3 linked regions of the Anolis sagrei genome follow. The protein of the gene in region 1 interacts with the protein of each later gene in a pairwise test. Links are inferred from orthologs where the notes say so. Each region holds a gene or a part of one and is shown in the gene's direction. Other genes may lie near its edges.

Region 1 (3,757 bases):
CAGAATGCTCTTTGATTGTAGGTGAACTATAACTCCCAGCTACTACAACTCCCAAGTGTTAAGGTTATTTTCTCCAAACTCCACCAGTGTTCACATTTGGGCATATTGAGTATTTGTGTAGTTTGGTCCAGATCCATCATTGTCTGAGTGCACAGTGTCCTCTGGATGTAGGTGAACTACAACTCCCAAACCAAAGGACACTGCCCTCCGAACCCTTCCAGTATTTTCTGTTGGTCATGGGAGTTCTGTGTGCCAAGATTGGTTCAATTCCATCATTGGTGGAGTTCAGAATGTTTTTGATTGTAGCTGAACTATAAATCCCAGCAACTACAACTCCCAAATGACAAAATCATCTTTTTTTGAGTGATCGTCACTCCTTGTGTAGTGAGACGTTTTGTTGCCAAATTTGGTGTGATTTCGTTCATTGGTTATTTTGTTTTTAAGATACTCATTATGCACAGAGAATATAGATAGATAGATAGATTGATTGATTTTTAGATATAGATAGATAGATAGATAGATATAGATAGAAGATAGATAGATAGAGATAGAAGATAGATAGATATAGATAGATAGATAGCGATAGATTAGATAGATAGATATAGATAGATAGATTAGATGGATAGATTGTTGTTGTTCATTCGTTCAGTCGTCTCCGACTCTTCGTGACCTCATAGACCAGTCCACGCCAGAGCTCCCTGTCGGCCGTCACCACCCCCAGCTCCTTCAAGGTCAGTCCAGTCACTTCAAGGATGCCATCCATCCATCTTGCCCTTGGTTGGCCCCTCTTCCTTTTGCCTTCCACTTTCCCCAGCATCATTCTCTTCTCTGGATAGATTAGATAGATAGATAGATAGATAGATATAGATAGATATAGATAGATTAGATGGATAGATAGATTAGATAGATTGATAGATAGATATAGATAGATTAGATAGATATAGATAGATTAGATAGATAGATTGATAGACATAGATAGATTGATAGATTAGATAGATAGATATAGATAGCGATAGATAGAGATAGATAGAGAAAGATATAGATAGAAGATAGATAGATAGATATAGATAGAAGATAGATAGATATAGATAGTAGATAGATATAGATAGAAGATAGATAGATAGATAGATAGATAGATAGAGAGAGAGAGAGAGAGAGATTAGCTGCTTCCTTCCTCTCCTTGCAACCCAAACAAAACGAAAAGGGGGCGTGCCCTTCACGAAGCCCCGCCCACGGCAGCTCTCCCGAGCCACTCAGAGGCGAGGCCCGAGCCGCCCTGTCGCCCCGCCCCCTTTTGGCAAGGCGCGCGTGCGCAGTGGGCAGTAGGCGGGGCCTGGTGGAGAGGAAGGACGCAAGGGAAGGAGGAGGAGGAGGAGGAAGGAGGGAGAGAGCGGCCATCTTGTTGTCGCGTCGCTGTTGCTGCCGCTGCCGTCGCCGCCGCCTCCCAGGCCGCCATCGTCCCGAAAGGAGCCAGCGGCCGAGGGCGGAGGCGCGGGAGCGCGAGAGCGGAGGGGGGAGCCCAGGGGCCGCAGCCGGAGGAAGGAGCCACAGCCGGGCGCGGGCGGGTAAGCTCCAACCCAGGCTCGAGGCCTGACGAGGGAAGGGAGGCCTCGCTGAGGGAAGGCCAGGGAAAGGGAAGCGGGGGGAAATGCAAATGGCGCCGCTTCCGGTCGGGGCTCGAAAGGGAGAGACGTCCCTCCTGAGTCAGGCCTCGCTCCTGACTCTCTGAGGGAGGTGCGGCCTAGCGGGGGAAGCGCATCCCCGGCCTCGCGTGGCGCGCTTCCCCGCCCAGCACGCACCCTGGCTCGGCCTCGCCTTCCCGCCCCCTCCCGCTCCCCCTTCTTTTTCTCCCACAAACTCTCCCCATTTCTTCTCTCCATCCCCAATTTCGGGATGCAGCCGACCTTTGTTTGCGCCCTCAACTCTTTTGGCGAAAGGGGCGTATCCTAACACAATATACAACAACATAATAATATTAATATAATGCTAATATAATAATAATAATAATAGTAATATTAACTGTATTTATACCCCGCTACCATCTCCCTAAGGGAGCCCACAGCACATCAGTAAACAAAAGCAATAGCAATAATCAATACAAAACAGTTAATATACACAATATACAATTATTATTCTTATATTAACCACAATATACAACACTATAGTAATACTAATATAATGCTAATATAATAATAACTTTATTTGTACCCCACTGCCATCTCCCTAAGGGAGCCCACAGCACATCAATAACAAAAGCAATAACAATAATCAATACAAAACAGTTAATATACACAATATACAATTATTCTTATTATTAACCACAATATACAACACTATAGTAATACTAATATAATGCTAATATAATAATAATAACTTTATTTGTACCCCACTGCCATCTCCCTAAGGGAGCCCACAGCACATCAATAACAAAAGCAATAACAATAATCAATACAAAACAGTTAATATACACAATATACAATTATTCTTATTATTAACCACAATATACAACACTATAGTAATACTAATATAATGCTAATAATAATAATAATAATAACTTTATTTGTACCCCACTGCCATCTCCCTAAGGGAGCCCACAGCACATCAATAAACAAAAGCAATAGCAATAACCAACACAATATACTATTATTATTATTGTTATTATTAACTTTATTTGTACCCCGCTAGCATCTCCCGAAGGACTCGATGCGGCTTACACAGGCCAAGGCCTGAATAAAAACACAGCATAACAACAATATAGTAATACTAATATAATGCTAATATAATAATAACAATAATAATAACAAATTTATTTGTACCCCGCTAGCATCTCCCTAAGGGAACCCACAGCACATCAATAAACAAAAGCAATAACAATAATCAATACAAAACAGTTAATATACACAATATACAATTATTATTATTGTTATTATTAACCACAATATACAACGCTATGGTAATACTAATATAATGCTAATATAATAATAATAATAATAATAATAATAACTTTATTTGTACCCTGCTACCATCTCCCTAAGGGAGCCCACAGCACATCAATAACAAAAGCAATAACAATAATCAATACAAAACAGTTAATATACACAATATATTATTGTTATTAACCACAATATACAACACTATAGTAATACTAATATAATGCTAATATAATAATAATAATAACTTTATTTGTACCCCGCTACCATCTCCCCAAGGGAGCCCACAGCACATCAATAAACAAAAGCAATAACAATAATCAATACAAAACAGTTAATATACACAATATACAATTATTATTCTTATTATTATTAACTTTATTTGTACCCCGCTAGCATCTTCCGAAGGACTCGATGCAGCTTACACTAGGCCAAGGCCTCAATAAAAACATAACATAACAACAATATAGTAATACTAATATAATGCTAATATAATAATAATAAAAATAATAATAATAATTGTATATTGTGTTAGGAGATGGTAGCGGGGTACAAATAAAGTTGTTGTTATTATTAACTTTATTTGTACCCCGCTAGCATCTCCTAAAGGACTCGATGCGGCTTACACAGGCCAAGGCCTCAATAAAAACGTAGCATAACAACAATATAGTAATACTAGTATAATGCTAATATAATAATAATAATAATTGTATATTGTGTTAGGAGATGGTAGTGGGGTACAAATAAAGTTGTTATTGTGTATTGTGTTGGGGAGATGGTAGCAGGGTACAAATAAAGTTGTTGTTATTATTATTATTATTAACTTT
Region 2 (3,757 bases), on another chromosome or scaffold:
TTCGAGATGCAGTTCGACCCTGTAGCGGAGTCCACATCAGTAAGGGTTAGATTACAGTCAGCCTGGGAGAAGTTAAAACGGGGATTTTCCTTTAAAGAAGAAGTTATTGAAAACAGTTGCCTGTCCTTCATGGGCAAGATTAGGAATTCACCAGTTGCCTAAAAGCTTGGAATCATTTGCTTAACTTTACTGAAGACAAGAGAAGTTTCTGTTTGATTGTTCTTTAATAAAAGACTTTGTTGTACTTCTCAAGCCATCTAAAGACGGTTTGTGGTGGAAACCTCTGAGAACTTCTCTTTAGGCCTCCTGGCTTCCCGCTGGGCAAAGATTGCACATCCTGTTCTAAAGACAATTATTTACAGGCCCAGCACAGGACAGAACAATAGTGAAGCAACCAAGTTTGGGGGAGGGGGGATGTTGAATGCTCTCATTAAGGAGGCCAGACTTGGTGGAGGTGGTTGACAAGGACGGAGCTGCAGGCTATTGAAGGCTGCTCTGCCCCCTGCTGTGCTCTTTGCTACAGCGTGAGCTAGGAGGCAGGTTTCAACCCCCCCCCTTGCGAAATTTTCAACCTCCCCCCCCCCCCGAAAATTTAAACCCCTCCCGAAATTTTTTTCTGGCTACGGCCCTGCCTGGAGGGCCCAAGTTTGTCCATGCCTGTGAGTCTACACTGCAGACTTAACGCAGTTTGGACACCACTTGAAGTGCCATGGCTCCATGCAATGGAATCATGGGATTATGAAGTTCTTTGGCAGAGAAAGCTAAAGGACCTTGCAAAACTATAACTCCCATGACGTCACAGTTTTAAAAGTTGTGTCGGAGTGTATTAATTCATTCTGCAGCGTAGATGCACCTTACTGCAAAACAAGAGGCAAGGAAGGAGAGAATGAAAAAAAAAAAAGAAGCAGCAGCGCTCTTCGGACTCTAAAAGGCAAAGGAGACAAACAATTGGAAGAAGGAGGGGGAAAAAGGGGGGGCGAAAGGGGAAGGGCAGGGGGCGGGGCGTTCTGCCATGATGGGGAGGAGGGGGCGTGCCTTCCCGAACAGCACAGCCCAATAAGCGTGCTAGGGTTGGTCACAGAGTGAGGAAGGCAGCCAATGGGAGGCGAAGGGGCGTGGCTGAGTGGGTGCGGGTGCCTTGTGCTGGAGCTAAGCTCATCTTTCGGGCTCCCATCCTCCTCCTCTCCCTTCCTTTTTTTTCCTATCCGGCAAAACTGAGCCTGCAGCTCTCCGTCCTCGCGCTGGCGAAAGAAGCGGCCGTTGAAGGGGAGGCAAGCGGGCGCGAGGGGGAAGGAGCGGCGCGCGCCGAGGAAGGAGCCGCTCGCGCCCCCTCCCCTCCGCGTCACTTCAACAGACCCTCCGTCCTCTCTTGGCGAGCGCGAGGCAGTCAGTCCAGTCAGTCAGTCAGTCGCTCAGCGAGAGAGTTGACTTTATTTTTCCCCTCTCTGGCGAACGCGGGACTCTTCGGCTGAGGGAGGAAAGGAAAGAAGAAGGTGAGGGGTTTGTTCTCCGCCTGGGAATATAGGGAAGTCAAGCGCGGTGCGAGAAGGACTACCTGGGGGCCTCCCTCGGCCCGGCCTCCGTCCCACCACCGGCACCTCTCTCTCGGGGACCTTTCCCCCCTCAGACCGTCGTTTTGTGGGTGAGAGAGAGAACTGGCTGGGATGCTTCAGGCTTGGGCTCTTGTCGCCTTGTGTATGTTTGCGTGTTGTGAGCTCTGTTATGATTTCAGGGGCATTTCTAGTCTAGGCTTTCACCCCCCTCTCTTTTCTCTTTCTCTGGAATGCCCGAGACTTGTAGGGGCCTTGATACTGCAGGAATGCACTGTGTATGTATGACTATATGGACTAGGTGGGGGTGTTTAACACTTGTGGGTCTTTTATAGTGTATATTTTAAGTCTGTGTGTGTGGGTAAAGCTATTAACAACACTATTTATAACAACACTTTATTTGTATTGTCGAAGTTGTTCATGGACGGAATCATTAAGTTGTTGTGAGTTTTCCGAGCTGTATGGCCATGTTCCCGAAGCATTCTTACCCTGGACCTTCCACAGATATAGAAACCCAATTTCCCAGTTTCCAACAAACCTCACAACCTTGCCACAGATGCAGGCAAAACGTCAGGAGGGAATGCTTCTAGAACATGGCCGTACAACCTGAAAAACCTACAACAACCCATTCTCTTCTGACGTTTCGCCTGCATCTGTGGCAGACAACCTCAAAGATCGTGAGGTCTGAATGCTTCTGGAACATGGCCATACAGCCCGGAAAACTCACAACAACCCAACACTTTATTTATAACCCGCCTTCTCTCCCCCCCTTTATAGTTCAGGCAAGGAGTGTACTGACAATGGACAGGCTTTGGACACTGAATTAGACTTAGATATGGCTATATGGTTGATAATAATGTTTTAAATTGATTATTAACCTAATGTTTTTATCTAAAACGTAATGTCATGGTATAGTGTGTTTTTGTATGTGTTGGCATCGAATTGTTGCTGGTGTAAGCCGCCCTGAGTGCCCCCCCCCCCTTGTGGTTGAGAAGTACAGGGCACAAATAATACATGTGTGCAAAAGATTTGTGGGTATACCAGGCATGGGCAAACTTATTGTGTATACCATTTATACCAGGCATGGCGTACTTTGGCCCTCCAGGTGTTTTGGACTTCAACTCCCACAATTCCTAACAGCCACTTCCTAATTCAATCCATGTTCCCCACCCTTGTGATGGTAGAATGTGGACTTCATTACCACTGAGCCTAATTGGAGCCAAACATACCCAAAGATGTATTGTCAAAGGCATTCATGGCCCAAATCACTGTCCCAGAAGCATTATCTCTTGACATTTTTCTTGCATCTATGGCCGGAATCCTCATACCCAAAGATGGTGAACCAGATTTGCTCTCCCAGATTTTGGCCTTGAGGTGGGATGCAAAACTCCTCCTCTTGATTTTCCTTTCCTTGACAAAATAACCATGTAGGTTGGGTCCAGGCAATCTGCCTCTCCATATCATAGAAACACAGAGTTGGAAGAGTCCACAAGGGCCGTCCAGCCCCATATGAATCTTGGGTTCATGGCATGACTTCTCTAACAACATTTAGTAGCATATGTAGGAATAAATTGAAAAGAATAGGGATAGGTTCCTACACAAAAAGGGAGTTAAAATAACTAATACGCACATTTGAAATAGACATATGCTCAAATCCTCTGTGTGAGAGAGAACCGGTTGAGGTGCTTTGGATTTGTGGGGATTTTATATAGTGTAGGCATAAATTAGGTGTGTACATTCATGTGGGTAAGTCTGCTGGGGTGCTTAAGACTACGGAGCATTTATATAGCCCTGGCACGGGCAAACTTAGTCCCTCCAGGTGTTTTGAATTTCAGCTCCCCCAATTCCTTACAGCCATAGTTACACAGTATATGTATGCGAACTGGCAGGGTGTATGTGCATAAGACTCGCGGGGCTTTTGTAGTGTAGTGTAGTGTGTTTGTGTATGAGCTAGCTGGAGCACTTAAGTCTTGTGAGGTTTTATAGGATAGGAATACACTATGTGAACTGCTGAGGGTGCTTAAGATTTATGAGGATTTTATAAGAGTAGGCACACTGTGTGTGAGCTGCTGGGGTGCTTAAGATTTTTGGAATATTTATGCTGTAGGCATGCAGTATATGTACATGGGAGCTGCGTGTCAGGTGCTTTTATAATGTGGACATCTTTCATAATATGGGCACACTGTGAGAGAAAGATTGAGAGAGAG
Region 3 (3,757 bases), on another chromosome or scaffold:
ACAACTCCCAAATGTCAAGGTCTATTCCCCCAAAATCAATCAGTGTTCACATTTGGGTGTATTGAGTATTCATGCTAAGTTTGGTCCAGATCCATCATTGTTTGAGTCCACAGTGATCTCTAGAGGTAGGTGAACTATAACTCCAGAACTCAAGGTCATTGCTCACCAAACCCTTTCAGTATTTTCTGTTGGTCATGAGAGTTCTGTGTGCCAAGTTTGATTCAACTCCATTGTTGGTGGAGTTCACAATGCTCTTTAATTGAGGTTAACTATAAATCCCAACAACTACAACTCCCAAATGACAAAATCAATCCCTCCCAACCCCACCAGCATTCAAATTTGGACATATCGGGAATTTGTTCCAAATTTGGTCCAGTGAATGAAAATACATCCTGCATGTTAGATATTATTTACATTACAATTCATAACAGTAGCAAAATTACAGCTATGAAGTAGCAACAAAAATAATATTATAGTTGGGGGTCTCCACAACATGAACTATATTAAGGGGTTGCAGCATTAGGAAGGTTAAGAACCATTGCCTTAATTGCTCCGTGAAATTACTGTTTCAACAGAGAATTTGATACCAGAGTCATGTATAACATGGAAATAATAGAGTTCTATTCCTACACCATAGAAAAGAACAACAGCAAACTTTTGTTCAAAACAAATAATATGCTCATGCAAAGTGAAACTACCAGATCCAAGTAATTAAGTAAATTAAAACATTTTGAACATTTTAGAGACAGTTTGGAACTGTTTTCCAAAAAGTATCCAGGGGTAATCTGTTTATTTTCTCAACAGCCTTGACTTTTCTTATGCTTTCCACTTTTCCAGCTGGTTTTAAAATATCCTGGTTTCTTTCTTGTCCTCCCACTTTCTCTTTTTTTCTTCATTTTTTTTCAGTTGCTGCAAACTGATTTCAAAGTGAAAAAAATAGTACACACATATATAAACAGGAGACCAGTGGGATGGGTCTTTTACTTTTATGTAAATGGCATAAACATTAGACCTGTTTAGTCATTCTGTGAGTCACTGGATTACCTCCCTCCCTTTTGTCCTGCCTGAACAAAGTCCACAAGGCATTCAGTCTGACAGGAGACCTTTTGTGTCCAGTGTGCCCCTGCTTTAAACTGTTGCTGGATTTCTCTCTTCTTTCTCCCTCCCCACCCAAAATACTCACACTCACATCTGGCTAGCTGTGACTGTTTCTCTTTTTCTTCCTTTCCTGTTCAAGCAAGGAGAAGAATTGGACAGAAGGGCTACCATTGACCTCCAATAATAAAATCAGCAGACTGCAGAAAAGCCAGAATTCTGAATATCTGTTGTTTGGGAGCTTGTTTGGCTTTTGGAGTTGGGAGATTTCCAGAACACACTGTCAGTGGATCGGTTGGTAGAGCCAAAGAAGACCAAAGCATGCAGGCTGCTGATGTGCATACGCGTTTGCTTGCATCTAGCACCAGGTTTATTGCTGATGTGCTGGCCTCTTTCCTGCCTAACAACCGGGAAATGGAAGATCCAAACAGAAGGGAGAGTGCATCTTCAGAGGGCAGCTCCTCTCCAGAGGAAACCAGGGGCCGGCAAATCTATTTGTCACACTCTGGTATGAGATCGGAAGAAAAGCGACTCAGGACCTTCCGGCACTGGTCAGAGCAGGTACCTGTCTCTCCATCCGACTTGTCTGCAGCTGGGTTTTTCTTCATTGGGCCTGGTGACCACGTGGAGTGTTTCTGCTGTGGAGGAGTGCTTTACGACTGGACTGCTGAAGACGACCCCATGGTGGAGCATGAGAAGTTCTTCCCAAGCTGTCCCTTCATCCAGGGCAGGGATTTCGGCAACCAGCCCCTGCCTCGGGCTGGAGAAATCCCGGACTGTGTGGATGGCCAGTTCCTTGGCATGCTGCAAAGTTTGAACATGGAAGAAGCTGCCGGAGACAGCCAACCGGAATATCCAGATCTGGAAATGGAAAGGGATCGCCTGAGGACATATCACTGCTGGCCACCCTACGCTCACGTGTCTCCAGAGGAGCTGGTGGGAGCAGGCTTTTTCTACACAGGTATGCACAAATACCAGCACTGTCCTGCTAGGTCTTACCCAAAGTCCAGGTAGTACAGTATTCTGGTCCCAGCAGGTCTTTTTCAGGGAACTCGAAAATAATATTGCAAAACCAATTACTTTACTTGTTTATTAATGTTGAATGTGCATTGAAAGTACTTCTGTTTGTGAAGGCTCCATTTCAGTCATCATGTTCAGAATGGTTTGACTTTGAAAGAGGAGGTCTAGGAAGAATATTTTATTTCAACAGGCATTTAGCAATTAGCTTGTTGGTGCAGAAGTGCTTTTTAATAATATAAGATATTGCACACACATATAATATTGATAACAATATTATAATGTAGTACAATATAATACTACTAATAATACAATATCATAATTATATATTTTATTACATGTAATATTAGTAATAATATTACAGTATAATGGTATAGTACAATATAGTAATATATAATACTAATATTGTGCTGTGCTAATAATATATTGTATACACATATAATATTGATAATATAATGTAATCTATGCAAATAAAAAATGTAATGTTCATTTGTGGGATTAACATAACTTAAAAACCACTGGGCAAATTGACACCAAATGTGGACACAATATACCTCTCAGCCCAATGAGTGACCATAACTCATATAAACACTGAAAAACACAGCGGAAGGGACTTAAAAAGCAACAAAAAAAGAAATAAATGCTACAGCGCATGCGCAAAATGGCTCCCTTGGCAAAAAAACCCCCCACACAATAGCATATCCACACTCTCTTCCGGACTACAGCTCCCAGCATCTCCTAGACCAGGCCCCTTAGGAGAGGAGGATGATCCAAATGCACTGCTTCCAAGATGCAAGCTTGCTTCTCCTTGGATTTCTTTGAGAGCATCTCAATCCCTGCATATTTCCAATTTCCTATTCCTGGACTGCAACTCCCACCAATCTTCCAGATAAATAGATAGATTAGATAGAGATTGGTAGGTAGATAGGTAGATAGATGGATCAGGAGGGCTGTTGGGAGTTGCAGTCCAAGAATAGGTAAAGAAGGAAAAAAGAGGAAGGGAAAGAAAGGGAGGAAGAAAGGGAAAAGGAAGGGAAGGAAGGAATGAGAGAAAGAAAGAAAAAAGGGAAGGGAGGAAAAAAGGGAAGAGGGTGAGAGGGAAGGAGAGAAAGAAAAGAGAAAGAGAGAGGGAAGGTCAGACATAGCAATGTGTAGTGGGTACAGCTAGTAGAATATAATATTGATATTATAATGTAACATTACAAATCAGCCATAGCAGAGCACCTGACAAACCACCTGGACACAGCATTTTGTTTGAGAACACCGAAATGCTGGACCACTCTCACAACCACCATGTCAGACTACACAGAGAAGCCATTGAAATCCACAAGCATGTGGACAATTTCAACAGAAAGGAAGAAACCATGAAAATGAACAAAATCTGGCTACCAGTATTAAAAAACTCTAAAATTGCGACAGCACAACAACAGAGAGGAAACAAACAAGGACATCTAATCACTTCTCAACAAAAGTTTGCTCCAGGCACTGTCAGGCCATTATATGCTAATCAAGGTGATCAGTTGAAACATTCACACCTAGCTCCAGCAGACAAGAGTCCTTTGTCCCACCCTGGTCATTCCACAGACATATAAACCCTTTTTCCTAGCTCCAACAGACCTCACTGCCTCTGAGGATGCTTGCCATA

Evidence for each region.
Region 2: the proteins of DDX6 (region 1) and SIPA1L2 interact in binary tests that used the Homo sapiens proteins (3 or more experiments, as listed by UniProt). The two-hybrid records come from large-scale screens. The link is inferred for Anolis sagrei from reciprocal best matches to the Homo sapiens genes DDX6 and SIPA1L2.
Region 3: the proteins of DDX6 (region 1) and BIRC7 interact in a two-hybrid assay, tested with the Homo sapiens proteins (3 studies listed by BioGRID and IntAct). The two-hybrid records come from large-scale screens. The link is inferred for Anolis sagrei from reciprocal best matches to the Homo sapiens genes DDX6 and BIRC7.

Annotation. Positions count from the first base shown.
Region 1 is NC_090027.1:43,714,112-43,717,868, reverse strand, and holds the start of DDX6 (probable ATP-dependent RNA helicase DDX6), read left to right. Parts: upstream 1-1,359; 5' UTR 1,360-1,565; intron 1,566-3,757.
Region 2 is NC_090021.1:60,225,779-60,229,535, forward strand, and holds the start of SIPA1L2 (signal-induced proliferation-associated 1-like protein 2), read left to right. Parts: upstream 1-1,117; 5' UTR 1,118-1,493; intron 1,494-1,516; exon of another isoform or gene 1,517-1,642; intron 1,643-3,757.
Region 3 is NC_090024.1:235,233,858-235,237,614, forward strand, and holds the start of BIRC7 (baculoviral IAP repeat-containing protein 7), read left to right. Parts: upstream 1-1,074; 5' UTR 1,075-1,416; coding exon 1,417-2,056; intron 2,057-3,757.